Elephas maximus indicus: one gene and its partners. The protein of the gene in region 4 interacts with the protein of the main gene of each other region in a pairwise test. Links are inferred from orthologs where the notes say so. Each region holds a gene or a part of one and is shown on either strand. Other genes may lie near its edges. The genes, in order: NCK2, PSMB3, BAG5 and TRIM27.

What was found.
Region 1: the proteins of TRIM27 (region 4) and NCK2 interact in binary tests that used the Homo sapiens proteins (3 or more experiments, as listed by UniProt). The two-hybrid records come from large-scale screens. The link is inferred for Elephas maximus indicus from reciprocal best matches to the Homo sapiens genes TRIM27 and NCK2.
Region 2: the proteins of TRIM27 (region 4) and PSMB3 interact in binary tests that used the Homo sapiens proteins (3 or more experiments, as listed by UniProt). The two-hybrid records come from large-scale screens. The link is inferred for Elephas maximus indicus from reciprocal best matches to the Homo sapiens genes TRIM27 and PSMB3.
Region 3: the proteins of TRIM27 (region 4) and BAG5 interact in binary tests that used the Homo sapiens proteins (3 or more experiments, as listed by UniProt). The two-hybrid records come from large-scale screens. The link is inferred for Elephas maximus indicus from reciprocal best matches to the Homo sapiens genes TRIM27 and BAG5.

The regions. Positions count from the first base shown.
Region 1 is NC_064835.1:79,826,070-79,833,011, forward strand, and holds the start of NCK2 (cytoplasmic protein NCK2), read right to left. Parts: upstream 3,008-6,942; 5' UTR 2,837-3,007; intron 1-2,836. UniProt on the Homo sapiens protein: Adapter protein which associates with tyrosine-phosphorylated growth factor receptors or their cellular substrates. Maintains low levels of EIF2S1 phosphorylation by promoting its dephosphorylation by PP1.
Region 2 is NC_064837.1:46,318,414-46,326,336, reverse strand, and holds the start of PSMB3 (proteasome subunit beta type-3), read right to left. Parts: upstream 3,108-7,923; 5' UTR 2,990-3,107; coding exon 2,987-2,989; intron 2,657-2,986; coding exon 2,472-2,656; intron 319-2,471; coding exon 211-318; intron 1-210. UniProt on the Homo sapiens protein: Non-catalytic component of the 20S core proteasome complex involved in the proteolytic degradation of most intracellular proteins. This complex plays numerous essential roles within the cell by associating with different regulatory particles.
Region 3 is NC_064828.1:117,819,905-117,826,819, forward strand, and holds the start of BAG5 (BAG family molecular chaperone regulator 5), read right to left. Parts: upstream 3,021-6,915; 5' UTR 2,928-3,020; intron 1,568-2,927; coding exon of another isoform or gene 1,454-1,567; exon of another isoform or gene 1,420-1,453; intron 1,180-1,419; exon of another isoform or gene 1,084-1,179; intron 1,009-1,083; exon of another isoform or gene 705-1,008; intron 1-704. Other genes in the region: cytochrome c oxidase assembly factor 8, read left to right, coding at 1,454-1,567. UniProt on the Homo sapiens protein: Co-chaperone for HSP/HSP70 proteins. It functions as a nucleotide-exchange factor promoting the release of ADP from HSP70, thereby activating HSP70-mediated protein refolding.
Region 4 is NC_064819.1:85,514,629-85,522,646, reverse strand, and holds the start of TRIM27 (zinc finger protein RFP), read left to right. Parts: upstream 1-4,966; 5' UTR 4,967-5,345; coding exon 5,346-5,765; intron 5,766-7,025; coding exon 7,026-7,121; intron 7,122-8,018. UniProt on the Homo sapiens protein: E3 ubiquitin-protein ligase that mediates ubiquitination of various substrates and thereby plays a role in diffent processes including proliferation, innate immunity, apoptosis, immune response or autophagy.

The DNA of each region.
Region 1 (6,942 bases), on a different chromosome or scaffold from region 4:
GTGTTCTATACAGCAGCACAGCCCTGGCCTAGCCGGGGCAAATCTAGCTAATGTCAGTGATAAAGGAAAAGATTCCAGGCGATCAGGAAGTCTTTAGAGTATTTTAAAAGGTTATCCAGTCTGCGCACATGCAGAGAATTTCCAGTGCTTTAACATAGATGATAATTCATTTCTCAAACACTGTGTACGCAAGAGCTGCTGCTTGTTGGAAAACAATAACCCCCTACGCAAACGCCAGAAGGTGAGACTGACAGAGAAGATTCAGGATGCAGCTGTATAACGATTTGACCAAAACTTACCATCGAGCAAAATTCAAAGCCTGGAAACTGAGCATCAAAAAAACTGAAAACCAGGCCCACTGCTGCCCAGTCAATTCCGAATCATAGCAGCCCTACAGGACAGAGTAGAACTGCCCTGTAGGGTTTCCAAGGAGCAGCTGGTCAATGCCAACTGGTGACCTTTTTGGTTGGCAGCTAGCTCTTAACAGATAGGAAACTGAGCACAGCTATTTAAAATGCACCTTAGACATGCCTCACCCACCTAAAAAGTATGGGTTTCCCCCCTCGTGGACACAGGGCTTAAGGAGCAGTCAATTCTCCTATGGCAATTTGCCACCAGCTACATCCTGAATTCTGTGACAATCCAGTTCAGTGTTTACCCAGCAGCTAAGAAGCTCAGGCCCAGGTGCAGAGGAAGATGAGTAAGGCACCTCCACAAGCTTACAACTGGCTTCAAGTTCTGAATTCCAGCATGAAGCCGTCCTAAGACCACCATTAAGATTCTGCCACTTTCTTCAATCAAAACTACATCAAACCAACCTTGAGGAGAGAGAAATATCGAGGTGTGGTCACTTCTTCACAAACCGTGTTCACACCCACTCGTCAGAAAATCTGTCTCCAACAACATCTAAAAACCAATTTATCTATACCAAACCAGGAACCGTGGTGGCGCTATGGTTAAGCGCCTGGCTGCTAACCAAAGGTTGGTGGTTTGAACTCATCCAGCAGCTCCATGGGACAAAGACCTGGTAATCTGCTGCCATTAATGATGACAGCCAAGAAAACTCTATGGGGCAGTTTTCCTCTGTCACAAGGAGTCACCATGAGTAAAAATCAACTAGACAGCACCCAACAACAGACCCAAACATCCCACATTTCTTCTCCACGTTTACCACTGATTATCATGAACATTTATTTATATAAACCACGCACATGCTTGAATTCTCTTATTTGCCCTTTACCTAGGAACATTTGGCGAGTGAGTTACCAGTGTGTTCAGAGGCAAAGTTTACTTCTGTTCTGATAAATTAAAGCAGCCCCAGGTAAATTTCATTTTCACTTTTTTTCCTTCATTTCTTAAGACTGAGAAGTACTGTTTACAACTGTATCAAAAACAGTGGCACAAAGCACACCCCGAATTTTCATTCCTACACAAAATCTACTTCAAGAAGCCAGGGCTGTCCTGGGACTGGGGACTCTCCTACCTGTGGGTGGAAAGGGAGCCACCTGGCCAGAGTGCAGCTTCTTTATGGGTCAATGGAAGGAGACGGACTTGATGCTGGTAAGCCTTTCTTGCCCAGCACTGGGGTTTGCTCGCACTATGCAGAAGCCAACTGATTATGGAGAAGCCAACTGATGGGGTGAAAACTTGGCCGAATGGACCTTAAACCTCTTCGCAAAATAAACAAGCCAAATAAAGGGGAAACTGCCAAACCGAATTGTCTGAAGTGGCTGAGGCAGACTCCAGGTACATTACTGCTTTGACCCTGAAGCTGTTAAAGTGTTTATCTTAAGTCAGGTGTCTGACGTTCATCAGCCAGTGACCCCCAGCGTCCCCCGCAGACCTTCCACGGTGATCTTTATTGTCTACAAATTAAAGCGTTTTGCAAATTAAACCCCTCCATACAATATCCCCCAAAAACCAAGCTGGTGAGGGAGTTACAGTCAATGCCTTAGGAGTCACACACCAAATTCTTCGGAACCACTTCGTACTTAAATCGTCCTGAATAAGCCAGGAGAGCAAAGCTGTGATGAGAAACTTTGGTTCCGGTGGCTGTAACAGAATCAAGTAAATCTGGGACAGGACACGGCTGAATCCGCCACAAAAGCGCCCTTCGCCTAGGCGAGGACCTCTTTTATGCGATATGACAGCAGCTTTGTGCGGGGATTCATAAATAGTTCCAATAAGGACAGTAAGTTCTCTCGGCAAAGCTCGGCCTCCCACGTCCCCTGCGCAGGAGCCCTGCAATCCAGGGCTGTTCTTCCCGAGGACGCACGCGCCCCAGCGACCCCGGCCACCCCCACGGGCCTGCTGTGACCCCGAGGAGGACGCACGCCCACGCCCGGCCCCGAGCTTCGTCCCCGCAGCTGGCTCGGAGGCCGCTTACTCCCTGCCTGCCCGGGGCTCCCCAGCTCCCCGGGTCAGTCAGTCCCAGCTTCGCGGGGTCGACCGGCAGCCCCCGGCTCCCGCACCCTCCTGCCTGCCCACGGCCAGTGCCCACACTCCAGGAGTGTCGGCGGCGAAGGGGCCCGAGCCGGGCAGGCGAGAAGAAAGGTGAGGAGTTGCGAAGTGCGGCGCCCAGCCCTGCCCGACCCCAGGGGCAGACAGCGCGGGGCAGGGGGCGCCCCAGGCCGCGCGCGGCAGGGCCCGGGGACCCGGTGGAGAGGGCAGAGGGAACCCAGTCCCCCGAGTCCCTTTCCAGGCGCAGCCCCGCCCCGCGAGCCCCCGCCGCGCTCCCAACTCCACGGAACGGCCACAAGTTTGCGGCGGCCGCGGAGCCCCCGCGCCCCCGCGCCCCGAGCCCGTCCCGGCCGTGCTCCCCGGCGGCGGCGCTTACCTCGCGAAGGGGTTGGCCGGGCCGCCGCCCGCCGAGGGCAGAGAGGCAGCCGCGCGCGGCGCCGCCCGGAGGGCCGGGCGCGGGGGTCCCGGCGGTGGCCGCGCTCAGCACCCGGGAGACGCCGCTCTTTGTCTGCGCCGCTTCCCTCCTCGCGCCGCCGCCGGCCGCTCGCCCCCTCCCGCGGCCCGGCGTGCGCTGCCCCGGCCCGGCCGCCGCTGAGCCCTGTCGCCGCCTCGGCCCTGCCGCGTCCAGGCCCGGCCGTCCGCCCGCCCGTCTCGCCCGCTGCTCCGCGCCTCGCTCGCCCGCCGCGGCTCTCAGCCTGACGAAGCCCCGGCGGCGGCAACCCCTCCCCCGGCGCCCAGCTCCCGCCTCCTCCGCTCCTCTTCCTCCTCTGCGCCCTCCCTTCGCTGCCCTCTCCGCCTCCTCCTGCCGCTCCTCCCCCGGCCGCGCCTTGACGCCGTGCGGGGCGGCCGCAGGCCCCGGGTGCTTGGGGCGCCGGCCGCCGAGACCCACCTGGGGGCGCCCGGGCAGCACAGGGCGCGGCCACCTCCTCACAGGGTTCTCCCGGGCCCGCCCCGCCGCCCCGCGTGCGATCCGTGCCCGCACCCAGCCTCCGGCCGCCTCTCCGGGACCGGACACCGGGCAGGCTGTCGGGCCCGGCCGGGGGCCCTGTGGAAGATCGGCGGCCCAGGGCCTGGAACGCTTAAAAGAATAGCAGGGACGCAAGGGAATACTCAGCCTGGGTGGCGCGCGAGCCGCTTGGCGACGGGTAAATACTGGGAGAAACGCGGTACCATGTGCGGAGAGAAAAGAAAGTACCTTTACCGTTGGGAGTGAGGCACGAGAATGAACATAAGGCAGCAACTTCCAGCCTTAAATGACTGGTAGGGTCGTCTTTCCCATCCTTTTAGTTCGATTTTCTTATCAGTGCACTGTTTGGCCACTGTCCCCCTCCCGGAAGCGTCCCCAAGGCACTCTGCAAAGCAGGTCTGTTGTCCATCAGAAAAGTGACTTACATAAAAATGTCACTGCCTCCCAGTAATTGCTTTTGGATATTTTTGATTGTCTTGCATCTGTTTACACTCCTAACCAGACAAGTTTTTGCTCCATCATCCCTGTTGGAGGCACTTCCTAAGGGGAGGAGAGGAAACCCAAACTCTGCTGCCTCCCCTGCATCGTCACCAGCTCGAGCCAGTTGGATTCTGGTTGCACACTCACCCACGAGGACAGAACGCCATAAGGAGCTGCCTGACTGTGGGCCCAGAAGGAGTTGTCACTAGTGGGGGACTGGTTCACTCAGCACCAAGTTGCCGCTTACCTGTAAACAAACTTGGAAGCTTAAAACCCCGGAGGAAGAGCAAAGACAGAAGTTTCACTTTCGCAGGCACTTGCGTGCAGATGTCTGTTCTCCAGTCCCCTTCCCATATGGCTTCCCAAAGGAAACCTGAACATGCAAATAATCCTGATGTCCTAGTGGGATGGCATGTCTCCATGTTAAGATTTTTTCCTAGATTCTTGGCTTCTCCATTATTATTAAAGCAGTAATGATCTATCCAAAGTGACGGGGTAGTATTATTTGATTCACAAATCCCATCGCGTTCCCTAAAGGAAGTATCCAAGGATAGGTAACTAGAGTCAGTATGGTTTTGAAGTCAATTCAGTGACTGTTGGTTTCCCCAACTGTGTGACCTTGCACAAATTATCTCTTAACCTTTCTACGCCTCAGTTTCTTCCTCTGCAAGATGGGAATGTAATGTTAACCCACCTGACACAGTCCCTGGCAGTAGGTGGTGCCCATTAAGCAATCTCTGGTGGGAGGGGCTAGGGGAATCAGGACATCTTCATTCTTCTCTGCAGTGATGCTGGAAAAAAAGCGACCTCCATTCATCCTTTAAGGAAAGCCTGGTGGCAGAGTGATTAAGAGCTACAGCTGCTAATCAAAAGGTCATCAATTCGAATCCACCAGGCACTTCTTGGAAACTCTGTGGGGCAGTGTCCTGTGGGGTCACTATGAGTTGGAATCAACTTGATGGCAATGGGTTTGGTTTGGATTCATCCTTTTGTGAAAACCTTGTTTTACTAATATTTTGACTAGGAAGAAGGGCCTGGCAATCTACTTCCAAAAATCAGCCAATGGAAACTCTATATGGATCACGATGGCCCAATCACATTGTGCATGTGGTCACCATGAGTCGGATCTACTTGACAGCAGCTAACAACAACAACAGCTTTACAATAAGTAAAACAGAAGTCCAGTCATGGTCTGGCCCAGTTTTAAATGAACGTACTCAAAATAAGTATAATGATATCAACCTAGTTTTTACTTGTTTTGTAAACTTTGACTGAATCATGGATGTGTGAACTTCACCCAGTGTTTCCTCTTCTTCCTCTGGTAATTTCTTAAAGTCACCCACGGCGTTCTCTGTCTAAACCCAGTGGTCTTTTCCTCAAACGTCATCCTGTACAGTTTTCTGAAACGTGTCCTTTCTACTATATTTCAAACATGATCATCTTTTCATTTGTCTAAAATGACTAATTCTGATTCTCTTACATTTCTGCCCACCCATCTGTCTCTTTGTGGGGTATTTTGACTCCCCAACCTGTAACCGTAATATTCCCAAAGCTGACTTTGGCCTTTTGTTTTTATTCTGATTTTTTTTTTTTTAAGAGAGACAATGGTTTTTTATATCTTGCAAGCTGGACTTTCAGCCAATAACTCCTAGCTCTGTAGCCTTAGATACCTCCTCAGCCCTGATCTCTTACCTACACTCCAATGCCTTACTATCAGCGGCCCAGAAGACCTCTCCTGTAGGCCACTCGTTGTCTCATCAAAGTCAGCATGTTCAGAGTGAACTCATCACTTTTCCGAGTTAGCTCCTTCTCCCACCATCTCTCAGGCTTGCCCAGGAGTGCACCATGCACCTTGGCTCCCAAGGTAGAAAGCTCATGCTGCCAGGACTTTTTCATCCCCACTGTTTTAGCTCTCCCCAAGGAAAGTAAGGAGGCGGCACTAGAGGACATTAAGATCGCTTTCGGTCTAAACTCCTGTGATTCTGAGTCCTGTTGATTCTTAAACATCTCTTTGATAGTACCTTTCTATTTCCAATGCCACCATCCTAATATTTATATCATTAACAATAATTGTAATGTGTATTTATTGAATTCCTTACATATATTATCTCTAACTCACATACAATATTATCCCCATTTTACAGATGAAAAAATTGAAAAAGTAAGTGCCAGAGCTGGGAACAGAACCCTCATGTTCTTGACTCTAAGTCTCTTGTTCTTTCCTCTTGTACCCACTACCTTCCAACTCGCCTCCCATACCTCACTTCCTCCCATCCCCCAGATTTACATGGAATATCAATGTCTTCCTAGCCGGCTTCTCTCTTGCCCCTCCCCTTGCACAAAAGCCTCTCATGGCACCTGCACTAAGCAAGTGGCGCTGGGCAGATCCTGCCTTCATCGTTAACTGCAAGGTACGGATCAACTGGCAGAGGCAGAACTGGGGTATGGCTGGTATGGCAGGTATTGTACCACCTGTGGGTGCTTGGCACCACTGAAAGTTTCTATTAACCCATCACGACCAGCGGCTACCTACAGAAAATGGCGCCCCTGCCCAAACATCTGACACCTTTCTTTTAAATAACTCTATTATAATAAAAACCAAAACCAAACCCATTGCCATTGAGTCGACTGACTCACGGTGGCTCAATCAGCTCAAAAATACAAGTCAAGTTTGTTCATCTTTTAATTAACACGTTACTGTGCTTGAGGAGGAAACCCTGGTGGCATGGTGGTTAAGTGCCACAGCTGCTAATCAAAGAGTCAGCAGTTTGAATCCGCCAGGTGCTCCTTGGAAACTCTATGGGGCAGTTCTACTCTGTCCTATAGGGTCACTAGGAGTCGGAATCAACTCGACGGCACTGGGTTTGGGTTTGGGTGCTTGAGGAAGTACGTTGGGCCGTACCGAGTTAACAGAAACTGTCCAGTGGCTCCATGCACCCAGGACCAGGGCGATACCCTAGACATGCCACCGGCATCAACAAGAGTCCGATTCCCAAAGTGTGGGGACGGATTCAGTCCTTAACTTCCCACTTCTC
Region 2 (7,923 bases), on a different chromosome or scaffold from region 4:
CTTTGAAGTAAGCCCTTTCTTTCCTATTTGGTTGTCAGACAGGCCCAGAGAGACCAGGCCCATAAAATAAGGATATCGTCTTGCAAATAAGTGGGAGAACAAGAAGGAATTCCTCCCCGCTCCGTGACCAACACTACAGGCCTACTTGGCCCCCAGTCAAGATTCCTGGGTTCCTAGAGTCCTGGAGCCATAGGCTATACTTCTACTCACCGTTTCTCATATAAGAGGTTGGCCACCATGCTCATGAGAGTGTAAGGTTTGATCTGCCGACCCTCCTTCAGCTCATACAGGTTCAGCCGGAACTTGAGGCGCTGGGCACTGTGGTGGGAGTAAAAAATGAAGTAGAAAGTCATTGCTGAATGTCTCCTAGTGTCCACCCTGTGGAAGTCAGGAAGTAAGCAGGTAGGCATACAATCTCAATGCCTGCCAAGACTCCTCTCTTCTCCTCAATTTTTCTCACCAGAAGTCTAGTCTCACTTCCATGTTCAGGACTCCATGCCGCAACACTTACCCCTGCGAAGATGCTGCTTTGCTAACCTTTCTTCCCATCCTTTTTTTTTTTTGGGAGGTGGGGAGGTAGGAAATGAATTTTTTCCTCTTTTTTGAGGTACAATTTATCTACAATAAAATGGGCAGCTCCTTCCACGCTTTTATGGGGTATGTGCCTGCAGATATAAAGTCACAGAAAACTTATACTGGTAAGACCAATGGATAAGAGAGCACAGACATAGGCTAAGCCTTCATCTTCCCACTTAACCTTTTTATCCGTAAGGAAATGGAATAAAATAAATACCCTGGCAGAGAGATAATGTATGGGTATATGACAAGGTACTGGAAAACTGCAAAGTCCTATGCATATTAAAAACAAGCAGCTGCTGCATAAATGGGCTGGAAGGGAAAAAGGATCACACCTCCTCCCTCCTCCAGCACCAACTCAGAGCCCCAGGACAGTCCCCTGCACAGAGCAGACCAAAGCCATACCTGCCAGAGGCAAAGCTATGAGCTGCAGGACACTAGACCTGGAAAGAGCCCTGGACGTGACTTTAGCATCATCTTATAGGTGAGGAAACCGAGACCTAGAGAAACTAGCAATTACTGCCCGCAAGCAACCAAACACATTGAGAAAACCCTCCTGAGGAAAAGAAAATGGCGTGAGAAGAACAGCAGGCTGGAGAGAGGAAGGCTGATGGGGCCTTCACACTGGAGGGAACCCTAAACTGTAATTCTCTGATTCTACCGAGGAAAAAGAGCAGGTTAGGTTAGGTTTTGGGAAGGACTTCAAAGTTATATACGTTCCTGATACTTAGGGAACTTTAAGAAAATGAGAGAAAATTTTCCGTCAAGCTTCCACTGACATTAGTGAACCAGTCTCTTGACCTTCTACGAAAAAAAGCCCAGGGACTGCTGCTAATCCTTCCTGAAGCACCTGACACCTGTGACCACATCATCCCCCTTGAAACCCTACCCTGATTTTTTCCCTCACCTTCTCCTCTGGCTTCTCTTCTTCCTCCAGTGAAATATAAGGTCCAACTTTTGAACTGCAGCTTATTTCTCCCTCTACATACTTTGTCTCTCTAGACTCTGCTCCCATAGATTTAATAAATCATCAATGCCTCTTTATTCCTGAGATATAATTTCAAAACTCTGCTTGCAAGACGTTTCTACTTGGTTTGCCTTGTCACCTCAAAACTGGTGTCAAAAATCAAAGTCATCATCTTTCCCTCAAACTAGTCCTCCCAATTCCCATATTTCAGTCAACATGCTCAAAACAGAAATCACCTGTGAGAAAATTTATGGATTGTCTATATACCAGGTACTGTTCTACACAGTAAGAATACAAAAATAATAAAGACATGGTTCCTGCCCTTAATAAATGACTTTCTTTGGTCTCAAAACATCCAAGTAGCCACTAAGGCTTGCTAGCAACAACTCTCAGAAACCCACTCCTTTGCTTTTCTGCCACAACCACCCCATTAGGACCATAACCCCCACATCTGGGCCATCACAAGAGCTACCTATTTCACCTCCCAGCCTCCTTCTCTCAAGTCACATAACCACTGTCAACTAAATAACCTGGTAATTAGTATGCGCCAACTCATCATGGGTTAGTTACCTTTCTGTATTGTCTCTCAACTAGATCTGCAGTTCTTTAAGGACAGGCTTTGGTCTCAGAGAGGCCTGCCTTAGGACCCTGGCTCTGACACTCATTAGTTTGCATCATCTTTACAGGAGCCGACTGCCACATCGTTCTGCCAGCAAAGTGGCTGGTGGGTTCCAACTGCTCACCTTTCGGTTACTAGCCAAGCACTTAACCACTGCATCACCAGGGCTTCTTCATATTGCTAGGATGTCCGCCAAAGTCTCAGATACTGGACATGTTAAGTAGATAACGGACACCCAGACCACTCAAGGCGCTAAGCAAGGCTGGTCCTAGAAAAAGCCTGGGCGTGGGCAGGGACCCCGACACTTACACAGTCTGGACGTCAGTGGCGAGCCCCGCCAGGCCGATGTACAGACGGTCTCCCATGGGAAAGATCTTCTGGAAGTCTGTGGTCACCATCTGGGCCTGAATCCCGAAGCGCCTGTCGGACGCGATGGCCACACAGTTCTTCCCCTTCATGGCCATGACGGCCCCTCCGTTATAGGACATAATAGACTGGAGCAGACAGGGGCGAAGCAGCTCAGGCTGGGGGGCCTGATGTGACCATAGCCCTCGATCCAGCCCCTGCTCCGGAGGCTCCTATACGCCCCATCCTCCACGGTGGGGGCGGCTGGACGCCTCGCACTCCAGCTCTGAGATTACCCTGCGTGGCTGCGAGAAGCCACACTCACCCCCCTTGGTCTTCAACGCGGTCCGCTCCCCTTCAAACTGGAGCCGCTTCTGTCCGTCGACCACCAGGCTCTCTATGCCTCCCAAGCCTCCCTTGCCCCCCTCCTCCTTCCTCAGTCCCTACCCCGTATCCCTTTTCTTCGAGCCCCATCTCACCATGATTGCGGTGTAACAAGACCCCCAAACTCCGCCGTGAGCCCAGTAAGCCCGCAGCAGTCCTCACTGAGCAACCACTCTCGCTGCTTTCTTTCCATTGGCTAGAAGGCCAGCTCTTCCGGGCCATTTGGGCTTCCGGTTGGCTCTGGATCCTTGTCACTCACCAGCGCTACGTAGTTTAGTTGAGAGGCCAAAGCCGGGGGGAGAGGAAAGTGAAAAGTCACTGTTAGTGCGGAAGAGCCTTTGCGTCGCGGTGCGTGCTGGGATCGCGGCGGACCCGAACTCTGGAGCCTAAAGCGGGGGGCGGGACCCACGCCGCACGTGGGCTGGGGTAGCAAGGATTTGGTAGGGCCGGGGCGGGGCGGGTTGGGGTGGCGGGCTATGGGGCCAGCGGAAGGACCCCCGGGTAACGTTTCTCGGCATGTTGTGTGGATCCGGGGTATCACTCATTCCAGAAATTCTTACTGAGCACTTTCGTGTGCCAGGCACTATGCTCAACACCCTAAACTTACTGCCGTTGAGTCCTAGCGACTCTATAAAATAGAGTAGAACTGCCCCCACAGGGTTTCCAACTGTAAAATATGACCCTTTACGGAAGCCGACTGCCACAGCTTCCCCCGCTGAGCGGTTGGTAGGTTCGAACTACCCACCTCTGGGTTGGCAGCCAAGAGCTTGATTACTGCACCACCAGACCTCTTGGTGCTGTGTCAGGCTTTAGACAGTCACTGGCTTAGAACAGTGCCCAGGCTGTAGGAGGCGACTATTAAATGCATATTTAATAGTACGGGGTTAGGGGGGTGTCGGGAGTATTTTGTTGCTGCAGGTGTTCAGCTGCAAAGGAGAGGTTTGGAGTCCGGAGGTTGTTCCGCTTTTCGAGACCCCCAAGCCAGCCGGCTTCACATGTCCCCAAGTCTCAGGTTACCCTCAAAAGGAACATTCCGGGTCTCCTCACGTCGAAGGTAGATTCCGGGGGTAACTGATGCCGACCCTGCCCGGGGTCAATGGAGGAGAGGTGTGTACGTACCACCTCCTGCCCTCCCGCCGCCGCCCTGTACCAGGCCCCTTCCCCTTTTCTCCTAGGTCCGGCTTCCTTTCACCACATTACCGGGCTTCAGGTCTAGCTTCTGCGCCGTCACAGCCTCGCTCCCATTGACTTGACTCACAGCCACTCGATAACTACCGCGGTCTCTGTGGCGCAATCGGTTAGCGCGTTCGGCTGTTAACCGAAAGGTTGGTGGTTCGAGCCCACCCAGGGACGCTTCGGTTTTGTGGGGTTTTTTTGTGTGTGTGTATTTTTTTCCCCCCTGTTTTCCGAGTATACATACTCCTTTCCACTAAGAGGGGGGTAAAAACTGAGCTTTTTGCTCCTAACTCCTGAAGAATGAAATTTCATACTGAAACGACAAAGGCAACAGTTTTCATATAGCAAATCAGAGAATCATTGTTGAAAATTCTTTGTTGTTCAATAAGTAAATGGGATAATTTCTCCGTCACTTCCCTCCACCGCACCCCTCCCTCCCCCAAGCTGGATTGCAGGAAAGGCAAAGACAGAGGTTTTTGTCTGGCCGTGCAATACGTTTCAGGTTGTATTTTTCATAAGAATAAATTTGCACTGGAGGCTGAACGATTTCCCATTGTCTGCCTCAATCGATGTTACAATCTCCAAATATTACATTTGGAAGGGAGGAGACTAAGGAGAGAGAGGTTGGCAGAGACAAACTGAGGCAAGAAGAGAAAGGTAAGAAAGAACACAGCTGTGATATACAGAAAGAGACACACAGAGAGAATGGAAATAAGCAGGGTGAATGAGAGGAAGCCCCACGGAGAAAATGGAGAGAGGGAAAAGAGAAGCATTTAACACAAGCATCAGAAAAAGGAAAACAAGAGTAACAAAATGTTTTTTTCCCCAGAAATGTGCACGCAGAAGTGGGGAGGAGGACGGAGAAATAGAAGCAGAAACTGACAAAGGATATTGTTTTGGGGAGACAGAAGGATCTACCTAAAGCGCAAAGAGGTAAAACCTAAAAAACCAAAGAGTTGGTTCTGACTCATAGCGACCCTGGAGAGAGGTAGACAGTCAAAACAGAAGGAGAAGCTGCCCTTTCCTGACATCATCACCATCTTGAAGGGGCCTTCACCTTACGGTAGCTCGTGGTGTGTGCTGGAAATAATTACCTAGACTTCCTGGGTTCCTGTCCTCTTGGAGTTTCTAATCTGACTGACGCAGTGACTCTTTTGATGAATAATTGTCAGCACGAGGACCCTGCGAGGTACTACGACTAACACAAAATCAAGAGGGAAGCATTGGCTCTTAATGTCTGCCAGAGGCCATCCCAGGGCACTGGGCAGGAGGACCAGATTTGTGGGGGAGAATACAACCAAGGTCTCTCTCAAGCAGTTCCCTGTCAAGTGTTCCCTCCGAAGATGTACTTTCTCAACATGTTGCTTAAACCGCCCTCCCAGTGCTCATCCATGCTCATTAAGATGAGGGTCACTCTTCTAAAGGCCAGCAATACAGCCCTCCCCATAAGCTCCAGTGGCACTGTGTATCCCTCCTGTGTGTCCCCTGCTCCTAGCACAGTGGCTGACATTGGTACATGACAGGTGCTTCTATGTCAGTTAATGGAATAAAGACTGGAAAACCAAAGAACTTCATGTGTGGGAAGGGTTGGGTCAGAAGGTTCTCCTGCTAAGCCAGAAAGGCCAGTGACCTGGGGACTGGTCAATGAGGACTGGAAAAAAAAAAAAAAAAGATTAAAAATTAGGTTTGGGTAGTGGGAGGTCTTCAGCATACTCCTCTCTGGTGGCGGTTAATGATTGTCTGCAGAATAAGAGAATGGACCACCAGTAAACTCTGGCCCCCTCTGGCGGCCCTCCAGGATTAATGGACGATAGTGGGGACGCACAGGGACAGTCAGCCCCTTTCCCACTAGCTAATACTCTCCCCAGGGGCAGCCCCTAGGTGCCCGTTGTGGATCGTAGACTGAAGTCTCCCCAAGGTCCCTACAGGTTTCTCTTAATCCAGTCCCCTTCTAACTCCAAAGTGGGGGCAGACCGGGAGTCCTTGCCGCACCCAGTTGACCCTTACAGAACGACTGGGGACAGAGCAGGATTCGCGAGTCTTCCCTGGCAGAGTCTAGGATGCGGGCAACACACTTGCCGTGGGGACAGTGGGAGTGCCCACGCCAAGAGCCCCCTCTCCTGTGGGGGCCGGTGAACTCGCGGCCCCCCACCCGGTGTAGTGACAGGGGAGCAGGTGACCGGATCCTTCCGGGCCCTTCTCCCGCGGGTCCCGGGCCACCTACTCTGGACGGATATCTCTCCCGCCCATCCTTTTCCTCCCCGCCCCCATTTAGCCCGTGTGGGCTGAGGTTGACGCTGGGGTCGCTTGGCGGCCGGTGTCTGCAAGTCTTCTGGTTGCCGACCAGAGGGTGAAAGCATTCGGTCCGGGGCCCCTGGGCTGCGAGCAAGTAGGGAAGAAAAGGAGTAGGCAGACGCTCCGAAGCTTCTTTTCCTAATTTCCTGTAGAGCCACTAACCGCCGGTGCGCTTAATGGCGCTTCTGGGCGGATAATCCAGCTCTTTTGACCGACAGACACGGCGTCGAGCCCTGAAAAATCTTGAATAAAGAATCGACCGTCTTCTTGAGCCCCACGGACCGTGGCCGTAACATAATATCTATGCGGTTCCCCGGCGCCTGTCTCAGCAGCTCCTCCTGGCTTTTCCAAGCCTCCCTGCTCGCTCTCTTCCCGGGCCGGAGCCTCTGGGGACCCGAGCCCGAGCGCTGAGTGGAGCCGGGAGCGACGGTCGGAGTCAGCTGGCTCCAGCCGCCTGGGCGCTCCCCGGGCTCCTCCCGCCACGGCGGCGAGGAAGGCGCACAGAGCGCACAGCCACCCCGCGATAGTGCGCGGGCGGAAAATGCGGGAACCGGTGCTAGGCAGGAAAAAGCGCGGGCCCAGCCTCGAGCCCCTGCGCCTCGTTTTCTAGCCATTGTGGCTCTCGCCTGCGCCCGAGTTATTGTATCCCGGTCCGTTTTCAGCTAGTTGGTCGCCCGGGCCCAGATTGCGTTCCATTCTTCTCCGCCACTACAGCTAACCGAGTCCCAACCACGAGACCTCCTCCCTCGGGCCAGAGCGTGCTAGGACCTCGCCCCTTTTCCCCCGCGGCGCCACACAGGTAGAGAGGGGACCCCACAGCGCCAGGCCTCTTCCCCGAGGCGCCCTGGCTGGGACCCGGAGCAAGGTGTTTTAGAGCCACTGATCCAGCTGCTGAGAGGGGCAAAAGGGTGCGGAGCGGACAAGCTCAGTCTCATAGATGCAGTTATTAATTTTAAAGCAGTGTCAACTTGGAGTGAATGAAAATAACCTGGACGCGTGGCGGAGGCATCGCGTCCACTGCCCAAGGCCCAGGGCCCTTAGGTCGAGGCTGAGGCTTGGAAGACTGCGGAGTGAGCCACAGTGCAGCCTAGTCCTCATTTCACTATATCCCAGGCGCTCCAGCTCCGGGCGGGGATCGCAGGGCCAGTGGAGGGGAAGAGGCACACAAATTTTGGGGGGAGGGGGTTAAGTGCGGGGGGTCACAGAGACAAGGATTCATCCATCAGTCGCAGAAGGGGGCTGTTTGGGAAGGGAGGGGTCGTGTCCGTACTTGCGAGGGGGCCAGCACCGGGTGGGGAACCGCCGCGCTAGCCTCTCCCCCTCCTCTTCTCCTCTCCGCAAACACCCTGAAGGAATGAGGTCACGTGGGTGAGTAGTGGGCGGGACCTACTCTTGTCTGGAGGAAAAAAAGCCATTTTGTCCCCCCTCCAGCCCCGTCTCTCCCCTCCCCCCTTCGTCCCCTCCCCTCCCCTCTCGCCCTCCCACCCCAAGCCGCTTTCACAAACTCCTTTCTTACGCTAGGTTTCTCCCCTCCTGCCGCCAGAGCGGACGACACGGCTGC
Region 3 (6,915 bases), on a different chromosome or scaffold from region 4:
GAGTCTCTGAAGAATGGCAATCACACATTAATTAAAAGACATACTTAAAGAAGGGGCTTGTCCCTACCGCAACCCAGAAGACAGTTATGCTCAGGTACAGCAAGGAGAGTGACATACCAACTCCCTCCCCCCAGCCTGGCAGCTATTAGGAACAGTGGTTACTGCCGCGTCCAGGGGAACCCGGGGCCTGCGGATGTCGCGTTTCAGCCATCGTAAAAAGAGAGGCGCCTACGTCTGCCTTTATAAGATGCAAGCAGTTCGGCATAACACAAATACTTGGGGTGTTAACGCTAGAATGAGCAGGGCACCTGCGGAATGCACGGAAGGGAAAGTCACGCAGCATAAACCCTACCACCCAAGCACCCCATCCCTCCAAGACAGCTATGTCTGGTTTCCAGAAAAAGTAACTCAGAGCAAAAGGACCTGAGCCCCTAGGCAGGCCCCGGAGGGGCCTACACCCCCCGAAGTCCCCATTTCTACATCCGTCTTCCTGCCTTTCCGGGCCTCTCCAAGCCCGGTCCCGACCCGCCCTTTAGTCGCCCTGCAGAGGCGCCGCCTGCGGCTTCGGGGGGCTCGGGCCCCTTCCCCCGCCAGCACACCCCCCGGAACGCGGCATCGGCGGTGAGCAGCGCAGCCCGTCTTCCCGCGAAGAGCTCGGCCCGCCCTCCCCGCCCCCGTCCCCGCCCGGCCCTCGGGCCCTTTACCCGGAGCCGGTCGGGGCTGCCGGCGCCTGGGTTTCCCGCGCGGAGCTGGCCGGTGGCCGGGCGGCCCTTCACGGGGTGAGGCGCCGGAGCGGGGCCCCGAGCTGCATCCCTCTCGCCCCTCCCGGCTAGGTCTGGACGGGGCGGCCGGTGCAGGGGCCGGCGGGGCGGCGGCAGCTACTGGCCGCAGCGGCCGCTCCGGGGGCCTCGGCCCGGGTCCCGCGACGCGCCCGCCGGCCCTGACCTCACAATGGGCCGCGGCAGAGGGGGCGGCGCGCTCGGCACGGCCCGGGGCGGGGAGGGAGCCCGGCCGGCGGGGAGGGAGCCCGGCCGGCGGGGAGGGAGCCCGGCCGGCGGGGAGGGAGCCCGCCCGCTCGCTCACCTGCTCCGCCCGCTCCATCGCGCTCCGGCCGCCGCCTCAGCAGCCTCTGCGGCTCCCGCCTCCGCCCGGCCGCCGCAGCCCCGCCCCGGGCCGAACGCCCCCAGCCCCGGGGAGCCGTCCCTCAGTCGCGGCGCCCCCCCACGGCCCGCCGCCAGCCGCGTGCACGACAGCGTGAGGAGGCCGCGGCCGAGGAGCGCCCGTCACCCCTTCGCCCACAGCCCCGCGGTGCCCGCAGCCGCCTCCCCGAACCGCCGGGAAAGCGCACGGTCGGCCGCGCTCCCCCTCGCCTTAGTCTTTGCGACACTGCCGTAAGGCGGTCTCTGACGCCGTCGCGCCTCTGTCGTGCGCCGCGGGAGCCGGGCGGACGCCAATGATGGCGGCCTTGGGGCCCAGGAGTAAGGCCCTCTTCCCCCAGCTCTGCCGCGCTTTCGCTGGCCACCGCCGCCAGCTCGCCCCAGAGCGCAGGGATGCGGCGCCCAGCCGGGTAAGCGGGGCGCACGAGAGCTTGGACCGGAAGGAGTGGTCGTCAGGGACGAGGCGTCCGAGCCGCAGCTCTCGGGACCGACCCCCACCCCCCACCCCTCGGGACCGACCCCCACCGTGCACACCTCGGGACCGACCCCCACCCTGCACACCTCGGGACCGACCCGCAGCCCCGCACCCCTCGGGACCGACCCCCACCCTGCACTTTTCGGAACCGACCCCCACCCTGCACCCGTCGGGACCGACCCCCACCCTGCACCCGTCGGGACCGACCCCCAGCCCCGCACCCCTCGGGACCGACCCCCACCCCCCACTCCTCGGGACCGACCCCCACCTTGCACATCTCGGGACCGACCCCCACCTTGCACATCTCGGGACCGACCCCCAGCCCCCCACCCCTCGGGACCGACCCCCACCCTGCACCCCTCGGGACCGACCCCCACCCTGCACTCCTCGGGACCGACCCCCAGCCCCGCACCCTTCGGGACCGACCCCCACCCTGCACACCTCGGGACCGACCCCCACCCTGCACACCTCGGGACCGACCCCCAGCCCCGCACCCCTCGGGACCAACCCCCACCCTGCACTTTTCGGAACCGACCCCCATCCTGCACCCCTCGGGACCGACCCCCACCCTGCACCCCTCGGGACCGACCCCCAGCCCCGCACCCCTCGGGACCGACCCCCACCCCCCACTCCTCGGGACCGACCCCCAGCCCCCCACCCCTCGGGACCGACCCCCACCCTGCACCCCTCGGGACCGACCCCCACCCTGCACCCCTCGGGACCGACCCCCAGCCCTGCACCCCTCGGGACCGACCCCCACCCCCCACTCCTCGGGACCGACCCCCACCTTGCACATCTCGGGACCGACCCCCAGGCCCCCACTCCTCGGGACCGACCCCCACCCTGCACCCCTCGGGACCGACCCCCACCCTGCACTCCTCGGGACCGACCCCCACCCTGCACCCCTCGGGACCGACCCCCAGCCCCGCACCCTTCGGAACCGACCCCCACCCTGCACACCTCGGGACCGACCCCCCAGCCCCCCACCCCTCGGGACCGACCCCCACCCTGCACCCCTCGGGACCGACCCCCACCCTGCACACTTCGGGACCGACCCCCACCCTGCACCCCTCCAGGCGGCCTGGCCCTGCACCTCACGTCTCCCCCACTGTGGCGTGAGTTGAGCTCCAGGCAGGGTTCAGAGCAGCAGGTGACCTGGTGGCCCGCAGTGAGCCCGTGGCCCGCAGTTCCCGTGTCAACCCCGTGGTCTGGGTGCGGGGACCAGGGTGCATGTGGACCAGTAGGACTGTCATCACGTGTGCCGAGTCCGAGTCGGCCAGCAAGTCTGTGCCTACCTTTTTATTCTCGAGGACAGCTGCTCTCCGTGTTTAAAGCTCGTGTATCTTTGCCTGTTCGTTGGTGACTTGGCGTCGTTAAGATTGTTAGTACCTTTCCTCACGCGATGGCGACCTTTGTTTTTCTCTAGGACTTCACGGTGAAGAGTTTTTCTGGTTTGGAAATGAGGTGCGTGTATGCTGGCCAAAAATCCACAAAGATTAAAGTCTGTACAAGAAAGAATGGCAGACAGTTTTTATAATTATAAATTGCTCTGTTATGAAAGATATTTTGTTCAAGGGAGGCCTAGGCTTTGAGTGGGGCCCTGGTGGTGCAGTGGTTAAGAGTTCGGCCGCTAACTGAAACATGGGTTCAAACCCACCTGCTCCACAAGAGAAAGATGTGGCAGTGTGCTTTCCGAAAGATTACTGCCTTGGAAATCCTATTATAAGTCACCGTGAGTCCGCATCCACTCCCCAGCAGTGGGCTTGTTTTTTTTTTTTTTTTTTGCGGGGTGGGGGAGGGGCTTGATTCCAGCTGTTAAATGGAAACATTGACTGCGGTGGGGAATAGGCTGCAGATAAAATACGTAAAGGAAATATATAGGCGCTTCATTTGCCAAGGTGCTAATGAGGGAGGCTGGACAGCTTGTTTAAAACAGTAATTAAAGAAGGATAAAAAAAAAACCAATTAAGAATTCCAAAGTGAGCCTGCCTGGAGATGTTCGTTTCTGTTGGTCTCAGGCTCTTAACACACTTTCATAAACGTTGGCCCTGAAGTTCTGTCTAGTTTATAGTTTAGTCGAGGAGCCACCAGGGCAGTTGTTTAGCCAGATCCCAGCCCCCCCCCCCCCCCGCTCAGTTCCCTGTCAGAGTGGCCACAGCCCTCTCTGTGTTCCTAGGACGCAGGAGCCTAGCAGCGTCTCACTCAGTCTTTGGGCAGGAGTGTGCTCACAACAGAGTGTGCTCTGGGAAAGCAAACTACAGACCAACCAAGAGCTTTCCCCAGAATGAGGGCTTGTTGTCGTCAGGTGCTGTCAAGTGGATTTCGGCTCATAGCGACCCCATGTGACAGAGTAAAACTGCTCCTTAGGGTTTCCTAGGCTGTCATCTTATCAGGTAAAAATCTTTTCTGTAATCTCCCACTTGGTAAAGTCGAGGGTCGGCGAAAAAGATGAAGACTGTCAATGAGATGGACTGACACAGTGGCTGCAACAGTGGGCTCAGACATAGCAACGATTGTGAGGATGGCGCAGGACGAGGCACTGTTTCATGCTGTTGTACATAGGGTTGGTATGAGTTGGAACCGACTCAATGTCACCAAACGGCAACAACAACCATCTTTTCGGAGTGGATCTCTAGATCTTTCTCCTGTGGAGCCACGGGGCGGGTTTGAACCACCAACCTTTTGGTTAGCAGCAGAGTGCCTTAGCCACTTATGGCACACTTCCCTATTTTGTGAACTGTTGCTGTTGTTCTTGGCTGCTGTCCAGTCGCCCCCAACTCATGGTGACCCCATACACGATGGAATTGTGCCATCCCCATGATTAGTTGGCTGATTTTCAGAAGTAGATTGCCAGGCCTTTCTTCCTAGTCTGTCTTCCTCTGCTGAAACCTGTTCAGCGTCCTAGCAGCATGCTAGCCCCCACCGACAGATGGGTGGTGGCTGCACATGAAGTGCATTGCCCGGGAATTGAACCCAGGTCTCCTGCATAGCAAACCAAAAAAACTGAACCCATTGCCGTTGAGTTGATTCAGACTCGTAGTGACCCTGTAGGACAGAGTAGAGCTGCCGCATAGGGTTTCCAAGGAGTGGTTTCAAACTGCCAACCTCTTGGTTAGCAGCCATAGATCACTATAGCGCTTAAGCACTGTGCCACCAGGGCTCCAATATTGTGAGCTAGTGGGCAAAAAAAAGGACTTCACCCAGACAAGGCTTCCTTGTTGTCATGCAGGCTTTTTGTTAAGGTAAAATCGGTCTTACCTTGGGTTGGATCCTCACGATGAGACTTACAGGCAAACCCAGTGCTGGGCACTTGCTAGACCGCTCACACCTGTTGTGATGCTGATGACCCAGTAAAAAACGGAGGCTGGCCTGTGAGTCAGAACCTGCCCAACTGTAGCGATGACTCGTGTTGTTTTTTATGTAGGATCTGAGTGCTGCATTATTCTGGATCCTGGATGGACTGTAAACAGTTTCTGCTGTAGGGCAGTTTGTATTTCCTTCGTCACCACCTTTGTGTGCTTCCTGAGTGCACAGCAGTTTCTCTAGGTAGTTAAGTTTCTGCAGCAGGGAGAGATTGCTGTTTTTCAGGAGCTGAGTGTAAATGTCAGGTCTTCCCAAAAGTGACAGGTCGTTATACTGTTTTCGTTATCTAAGTAGATACACATTTTAACACTGCGTCTGTTTTTCATTAATTCTTGGCTCTGCCCTCTGCTTGAGTTAAAGAGATTGGCTTTCAGTACCTGCACGCTTTGTTCCCACTTCTCATCTCTGGATACGAGTTTTAACAGAAATATGATAGTTAGGCACCATTCTCCCTTCCAAACCCAACTTAAACTCAGCTCGTAAGTGTTTGCAGCTTGTTCCTTGTCTGTGTAGTTTGCATCCTTGGTTCTTGAACTTGTCTGTGCTTTGGAACCATTGGTTAGACCTTACACAGAACTGGGGCCCACCCCCTGCGGCTCTCCTGTGAGTGGGTCTGGGGTGTGGCCTGGACATCAGGATTTTTGAGGGTGAGTCAAATAACCCTCCAATTTTGAGAACCACTGGTTACGTTTCATGAAGTAATGTTTATTTTCAGTCCTGAGTTTTAGTCACATTCATAGTAATAGTTGACGTTGACTGAACGGTTGCATGCACTGTTCTGAGAACTTTATACATTTTAATGCATTTAACCTTCGCAATTCTATGAAGTAGTTACTTTTAGCATCGTCACTTGACAGATGAGTAAATTTAGGCACAGTAAAGTCACTTCCTCAAAGCTGTACAGTCTGTAAGGCATGGACACAACGAATGTATGTGTTATAGTCCTGTACACAGAAGTTAAGGAATTAAAAATCATTTTCTAGCAATTTTTGGATCACAAAGAACAAAAATACAAGCCCTTGGCATCGAGAGGTCATTTTTTTTTTTTTTTTTGATGGTTTTACATACTGTTGCGTTTACTTTCCCGTAAGATAGATTTCCAAACTGGAATTCTTGTGCCAAAAAGAATGGATTTTTAACATTTTAGATATGGTCAGATCACATTCAAAAAATCCGTTGTCATGGGTTCAACTCCGACTCATAGTGGCCCTGTAGGACAGAGTAGAACTGCCCCACAGGACTTACAAGGCTGTGATCTTTACGAAGCAGACTGTCTCAGCTTTCGTCTGTGGAGCGGCTAGTGGATTTGAAGCGCTAACCCCGTGAGCAGCCGAATGCTTAACCACTGCGCCACCAGGGCTCCTTCACATTCAGAAAAGGTGCTGCGGGTCACTTCTGCAGAAACGAGGGAAGGCCTGTCTCCCTGACAGCACCGGATGTGATTCCTCCCCTTTTCGGCTTTTCCAATTGGGTGCCTTAAAACTGCAGTTTCCTTGTGTAATTTTCACTTGCTTGACTTCTAGCAGGTTTGAATGTCTTTTCGTATGTTTGTTGACCCTTTAAAATTTATCTTCAATGACTCGCCCTTGCCCTTTTTCTATTTGTTATTAATTCAGAGAAACTTTTTATTACAGATACCAATATTTTTGTCTGTTCTATCTGTTGCAAATACATTTCCCAGTCTGCCTTTTTATCTAGTTTTTTTTTTTTGCCATGTATTTTATCAATTTTTTTCTTTAATTGTGTTTTAGGTGAAATTTTACAGAGCAAATTAGTTTTTCATTAAGCAATTAATACACAAATTGTTTTGTGACATCGGTTGCCAACTCTGCAATATGTCAGCACTCGCCCCTTCTCCTCCACCCTGGGTTCCCTGTTTACATTTATCCAGTGTTCCAGTCCCTTCGTGCCTTCTCGTCT
Region 4 (8,018 bases):
GCACATATTAAAATAAAGAGCTTTACAAGTCCAAACCAAAGGCCAGAAGGCCAATTTCATCTTGCAGACATGATTTTAAGTTTCATTAAGTTGCCAATATTTAAAAGTCAGCAAATTTCACATAAAACTTCAGATTTCTGCCTTCTTGTGAAAAATCTAAAAAATTAGCAATATGCTGGGCCCTCATTCCCAGATGACATTATAGGCTAGTGATGAGAAGTAGCCTCTCAGGAGGGACATCTGTCTTCCAACTGGACACCGTCTCTACCTTTCCCTATTGTGTCTCTGGCCTCGTCTGCTCACTTAAGTTACCTTCTTGCCTCCAGTCAGTATTTGTGTTTGCACTACTGTCATTTTGAACTGCCAACCTTTCAGTTAACACCCAAGAGCTTAACCCACTGCACCACGAGGGCTGCTTCTGACATTTTACAGATAAACAAATAATAAGAGTTATAGTTTTTCTGTTTAAAATGGATGCGTGCATTACTCAAGTTGATGAAAAGGAAAATGCTATCTGACTCTTGGCCAGGAGGTATCATAGCATCTACCCCATTGTCCCCTAACCTGGAAGGTGGGAAAATGGCACAACCGTGAACATGTGTGAGGCAGAAGATAATCAGCTACATTTTGGGTGTGTCGATAGCTTGAGATGGCTGGAATGGATAACAGAGATGCAGAGGGCAACCAGATGATAGTACTGAATAAGTGACTCAAGAACAACAGAAAGCAAAACACTTGATAACATTAAGTATGATTCTTCATAAAATGCTGCTGCTGATTAATCTGCCAACTGTATGTATTCAATGAAGGTACAGAGGTTGTGCTAAGGGAATAGAGAAAAAAGATTAGGGACCATCAGAGAAGAGAGATGCCATGGCATTTGAGTTGGGCCTTAAATGATGGAGACCTGGGGTTTGGGACAGACAGGCTGAGGGGTTGGCATGGCAAAGGTGGAGAATTGACTGGGCCAGAGTGTGAAGCAGGGGATGGGGACACAGAAAGGCCAGAAGGCCTTAGTAACTGCAGAGCTAGGATTCCAGGTAAAGAAATTGGGCATCTATTCTGCAATAAAGCCAGACGCCCTCTGCGATTTTCTAAGAAAATGAGGGCAAAATCCAAAAAAAAAGTAAGGGTTATAAAGATGAGAGATATACATAAAACGTGACAGTGGAAGCATTAAACTGCTAGTCTAATAGTTCAAATATTTATGGGCTTTTGATATGGTTAGAGGTACGTGTGAGAAATAACAGAGAACATACAAGAAGGTCTGATGAGGAGTCCCTCCCCTCATGGACTTAATTATGTGAGCTTGGTTTCCTTATTTATAAAGTGAGTGTATTAGACTACGTGAAAGCTAAAATCACTTCCTGCTCTAAAAATATGTCCTGATTTAGAGCTTTGACAGAAAAGCAAGAGTTTCATGCAAGGCAAAGTCAAAGAAAGTCATATGATAGAAAATAAGCAAGTGCCTTGTGAGGTTCTGTGTGAACACAGGAGCCTAAGCGGAAAGAAGAGAAATCAATGAGGCCAGCCTTTTTCAGATAAGCTCTAAGGATGGGGTGGGATTCTTGAACAGGCCTTGTAGAGAGGGTTGTGGCAAGACTGGAGGTGTTGTTTGAGGACAGTGAAGGTATCAGCCTGTGTTGGAGGCTGGAGGTACTCAGATGGGACACCATCTTAAAGGATTTGGACAATGTCCTAGAGACAAAAAAGGAAGCATTGAAGATTTCTCAGTAAGAAGTGGCAGAATGAAAGAAGCATGTTAGGGATGTTTAAGGATGATTCTTTCCCTTGAGGTGGTAATCACTAGAGGAAAAAGTAACAGACTAGAGGAAAAAACTAGAAATAGGGACACTAATAGGAAATGGTTGCATTTATCCAGTTATTAATTCATTTCAAAAACATTTGTAAACTGACTATTGTAATAACTTAAGTCAGGGTGTGGTGATTGAAATAAAAATGAATAGAGGCCAAGTTGAGCAATAAAAGCAAAGCAAGAAAAAGAAAAAGAAAATTTTTTTCAAAATTCCAATAAGTCTAGAAGATAAAGGAAAGACAATAAAATCATTCTTTCAGCAAACTTTTATTGACCATTAGCCACATGCCAGGCAGTATTCAAAGTCAGACAGAGTAGAGTTTTGCTCCCAAGGAGCTCTCAGTTCAGTGAGGGGAACACACAAAGGAATGCAGGATGTAGTGGTAAACAGTAAGTGAGCTCTCACAAGAATTCTGTGAGTAGGTAGAAAGGCTTCACTGCATTTGAGAGGAATCTTAAATGTTACCTAGACAGAAAAAGTGTATGTGACAAAGGCTTTATAAGCAGATAAACCAGCAAATTCTAAAGTAGAGCATCTGATCCCTCTTATCTCAGGGATACAGACCTGTAGTTTGGCTTTGTTTTTCAGAATTGATGGTGTTATCAACTCCTTGTCAACCCCAGAGGTGGGTTATGGATAAAAAAAAAAAAAAAAAAGGAAAGGTGGGGTAAAATAGGTAGGTTGAATGGGGATGAATGGGGATGGGTGAGAGAAAGGGGAAAAGGGAAGACTTGCACTTGGTAGTTTCTACCAAAGGAGCCCTGCCGGTGCAGTGGTTAAGCACGCAGCTGCTAAATGAAAGGTTGTGGGTTTGAATCCACCAGCACTCAGCTGGAGAAAGATGTGACAGTCTGCTTCCATAAAGATTACAGCCTTGGAAACCCTCTAGGGCAGTTCTACTCTGTCCTATATGGTCGCTATGGGTCGGAATTGACTCATATGGTGCACAACAACAGTAATGTCTACCAGCCCATTTCCTTCTTGAATATTCAAAATGCCAGTGACACCTTAAAAATGGCCACTGTGGCCGCCTGCACCGTGAATTTAAACTCTTTTAGGATAGCGGAGATTGGACCATGGGCCGGGCCTTAGGAGGCCCCAGGAGCTTGAGACTCAGGGAGAGGTGTGTGGGTGTGGAAGAAAACACTAAGCTGAGGGAGCTTGATGGTCATACCCATTTCTGAGTTGGAGACATAGAGAGCTCTTACTGTTCCCACCCTGTTCCCTTTCCAGTGTGTCTCAATTGAAGTGGCAATTCAATACTCATTATTTCTGGCTAGAACCCAATCTTTGGACAAATCTAAGTATTTGAAGAAAGATATAGTCAATGTATCAGTTTTTACCGGGGGAACTACCATTTTCCCAGCTGACAGGCACAAAGCCACTCATCTCCCTACCACAGTTTCTCCTCATTCTAGTTTATCCTTTGTTGCCTTCAGTTATTTTCCTAGAAAACAAATTCTGACCTGTGGAAAAACTGCTGGTTCCTTGTTCCTACAATACCGAGTTCAAACTTTCAGAGAGTGACAGACAAGGCCCCTTCATGGTCTAGCACCAACCGCCTTCTCTAGCCTTGTCTCCATTGCTCGCACACACACACACACACACACACACGCACACACACACACTACACTTCAGTTACACCAAACTTCTCACATCCCATAAGTGAATATAAGGCTTTTCCAGATGTTTTTTAGAAGTGGGCTGGGGCTATCCGGAACTGAAATTGCATACTGGGATACTCAAAAGAATGTGGTTTGGAAGGGGGATATGGGCTTGAGGTTGGCAAGTCCAGTTAGTCTGGTCGATGTCTTGCCCCATAAGTGAGGAGGACCAAAGTGGAACTTTTAAAGTGAGGAGTAGGAAGCAGAGGCCCCTCTTGCTGGTGTACAAGGATGATACTGAGAAAATATCTAAGGAAACTAGGAAATAGCAAGGTAGGGATGAAGGAGCAACACAAGAGCTTTAAGTCTACTAGATGAGAAAAGGCCTGCTGGTGTAGAGGTTAAGTGTCTACGTCTGCTAGTCAAAAGGGTTGGTAGTTCGAATCCGCTTGGTACCCCTTGGGAACTCTATGGGGCAGTTCCACTCTGTCCTTATAGGGTCGCTATGAGGCGGAATCGACTCGATGGTACGTACTGGGCTTGGTTTTGGTTCTTTTGGTGGACGATGAAAAGAGAATGGGCATTGTGGAATTCCAAGGGCTTGGGTCACTGCAGGTTTCTCAACCTTCCTATGCTTTGGGAAGGAACAAGCAATTTTTTAAAAGTTCTACTCAAAACAACCTTTAAAACCCTGTGGAGCAGTTCTACTCTACGCACGTGAGGTCACCACGAATCGGAATTGACTCCATTGCAACCAACAACGACAACATGCAGTAGCTATTTTATTGCTATTTTCATAGTAATTAACCCCATTGCTGTCGAGTCGATTCCGACTCATAGCATTATGGTTCAAAAATAAAGGTATAATAAAGTCTCCTTCCTCACTAGGGGTACAGTTATCATTCCCATTCAATCGGGCGGGGGGGTGGTGCGGGGAGGGGAACTATAAGCCCAAAACCGTAAACCAGCTTGTTTGGGCACAGACGGAAAAGTAGCAGAACTGGGCTTGTCTGACTCCATTTACAACCCACAGAAACGATAATTTGCCTAATAATTAAGCCTTAAAAAAAAAAAAAAATCCAAGAGCCTGTAAATGGAGCTGTTCGATAAAGTGTATCTGTCTCACATATCGGGTGGGGTGCAGTCGGTTCCCCCCGTCCCTCCGCCCCATGGGGCAGGCCAGATGTCTGTGCTTCCCAGATCCAACACAAAGCCAGCTTTCCCTCTCAGGAGCTGAGGCCTCGGCACAAAAGAGGTAACCCAACAAAAGACTAGGGGTCCAAGACCGGGAAGGAGCGCGGAAGCTCGGAGGTGGGCCCGAGCATGAAGGCTGGGGTGACCCTGTCACTGCTGCGCCCGGCGGACACCGCCTGCCCCTGTCACAGGCTCCCGAGGCTCCTGCTCCAGCGCGTTCCGCCCAAATACCGGCGGCCCCGCCACCCAGTCCTTTCTGGGAGGAAACAGTCCAGGCCTGGAGGCCACAAAACCCTGTCGCGCTCGGGAGGCCCGGCCCAAGCCCCGCCCCCCCGAGCCGCCTCTTCCGTTAGCGCCGGGGTGGGGTCTACACGGCCTCGGGGATCCGCTAGAACGAGGCCACGTTGTCCTGCGCGCTTAGCGCGCCTGGCCCCGCGAGTCCGGTCGGCTGCGCCCACTTCCTGGACCCCTTGCCTCGGTACGGGTCTCCGTGGGACCGGAGTGTCCCGGCGCCCACGCAACGGGGCGCCGAGAGGGGCCCCGCCACTTCGAGTCTCCAGCGCGCGGGCGCGACCGGGATCTGCGACCAGCATCTGGGCCCGGAAGGCGCCGCCCCGCTCACCTCCCCGCGCGTCCTGAAGTGGAGACCCGTAGGGAGCGCAGTAGAGTGGGGCTCCGCGCAGAGCTCAGCGAAGGGGCCCATGCCCGTGCGCCCCCGCGGGCCAGCGCCATGGCCTCCGGGAGCGTGGCCGAGTGCCTGCAGCAGGAGACCACCTGCCCCGTGTGCCTGCAGTACTTCGCCGAGCCCATGATGCTCGACTGCGGCCACAACATCTGTTGCGCGTGCCTCGCCCGCTGCTGGGGCGCGGCCGAGACCAACGTGTCGTGCCCGCAGTGCCGGGAGACCTTCCCGCAGCGGCACATGCGGCCCAACCGGCACTTGGCCAACGTGACCCAGCTGGTGAAGCAGTTGCGCACCGAGCGGCCGTCGGGGCCCGGCGGCGAAATGGGCGTGTGCGAAAAACACCGCGAGCCCCTGAAGCTGTACTGCGAGGAAGACCAGATGCCCATCTGCGTGGTGTGCGACCGCTCCCGCGAGCACCGTGGCCACAGCGTGCTGCCGCTCGAGGAAGCCGTGGAGGGCTTCAAGGTGAGGGCCCGGCGCGCGGAGCGGGGAGGGGCGGGGAGCCGGAGTCGGACAAAGGGAGGAGAGAGCCAAGGGGGTTTCCTTTTTTCCGCCTAGAAAATGGCTGAGCCGGACGTGTGGTTCACAGCCGTCATTTCCTCTCTGTCCGCTTCAGAGCCTTCGCACTCAGATTTGGGAGAAAAACCTGTAGCTGGTGAGGAAGCCAGAAGTCTCCCCCACCCCCCACTCTGCTTTCCCTGTTATACCCCTGTGTTTACCCGCTCACGGACACGTAGTGTATAAAGACGGCCCCCCGTAGAGACCTCCCCACGCTCCCACCCCCCACCCCCACCTGGACATTTTGAAAGGTGTGAGGAAAGCGACATACACATCAGCCACCTTCAGAGACACAAGTACTCCTGTGGGCTCTGATCTCAGACAGAACACACCCGGAGGTTAACTGGCTGTACATACATCGAATCAAGCCTATAAGCATTTCACCAGCACTTCCCTGTGCTCTGGCCTGTTCTACAAGCTCCTGGAAAAGAACAGAGCACTTTACTGCTTGGGCAAGTCATTTAACCTCTCTGAGACTCAGGAGGGTAACAACACATTATTATGAAGATTAAGTGAAATATGTGTGGAGCCCTTTGTGAGCTGTTGGATCAACAGACTGACACAGCTAAACACTAACATGGAAACAAAGTATTAAATATAAGTTTTAAGGCAACATTCAGGGAATGCATGATGCTGTGATACCTGTATACTTGAGTGCTGCAGGGATACACAATTATACATGTTTAAATGTGAGTACATTAATACATAATTTGCCACTTAATGTTTAGAGTGCTTTCACTTAATTATTTCACTCACCTTCATGATAAACACTGAGTAGTTTGGGAAGGTGGTGTTCATTCACCCATGTTATAAAAAAAATGTTATACATGGGGAAAATAAGAGAAGTCATTTTCTCAGGATACCTCTGTGGAGGAGTTAGTTTGGCTTTAAGCCTCTTAGTGCAGTCACCTTCCCAACGAAACTACAGTATCCTTCCTGGGGAGAAGGTAATCCACTGTTTAAGATACACACAAACAGACAAAGGAGACCCTTGGTGCCCCCCTGGGTTCTTGGCCTTTTTCTCCGTGGTGGCAATGTGGTCTAAAGACAGGCTCTAACCAGGGTCTTGGCATGAGGTGTGTGGGTTCCATGTGTGACATGCAGAATAACCATGATGATGCTAAAGTTTTCCTAATCCTGAACTGGCAACTGTCATGGTTTCCTCAGGAGCAAATCCAGAACCAGCTGGACCACCTAAAAAGAGTGAAAGACTTAAAGAAGAGACGGCGGGCACAGGGGGAGCAGGCACGAGCTGAACTCTTGGTAAGGGTCATCACGAATGATGGATAATATTACTTCTGCTGGCCAGTCATTCCCTCTTCTCTGGGCTGATGCTACTTCTGTTATCTTTGTTCAGCCAGGTCACCCACAGCTGTTAGGTGCAGTTGGGATCTCATCTGGACACCTAATAGATAACTAAGCTTATTTCCACATTTTGGGGAAAGGATGGAGGAACCAAGGTGGGAATCCCTGGAGATTCTGACCTTCAAAGAAGATTTAACCTGCTAGCTTTGTATAGATCAGCATTGATCCTTGACAGAGCTGAAACAGGTGAAATTTGGGGCATACTTAGCTTCCTTTCATATCATCCTGTAGACAGGAGCTAATAGTGACTTTGAGTAAGCCTTGCTGTTGCTTCTTGCCTGGAATATTCCTATCCTTGACAGTTTATCAACTCTGAACTTTTCATTTTGCTCTCTTCCCCCATCCTTCCAAAGCCTTGCCAAGTAGCTCATGTGCTTATTTCTGATAGGAGTATTTGGGCGTTTTGTTTTTGAAAAAATATATACATGTATATATCAAAAAGTACAAAAACTTTTGCAACACACACTTATATTTCCACCACCCATGTGTTTATACTTTTTTATGGGCAATAATTAAAATAGTACAAATATTCTTCCAGTAGAGATATTTGCATCTGAAAAGCAAACTCCTAAACTAGTAATGTCTAGTCCTGTCTTGTGAGAATTTTTGTTAACTACTCCTAGCCATGGTTGCACAGTGGTTAAGTACTACGGCTGCTAACCAAAAGGTTGGCAGTTCAAATCCACCAGGCGTTCCTTGGAAACCCTATGAGGCAGCTGTGCTCTGTCCTATAGGGTCGCTATGAGTCGGAATTGACTCGACAGCAATGGGATAGGTTACTCCTGGCCAGGGTAT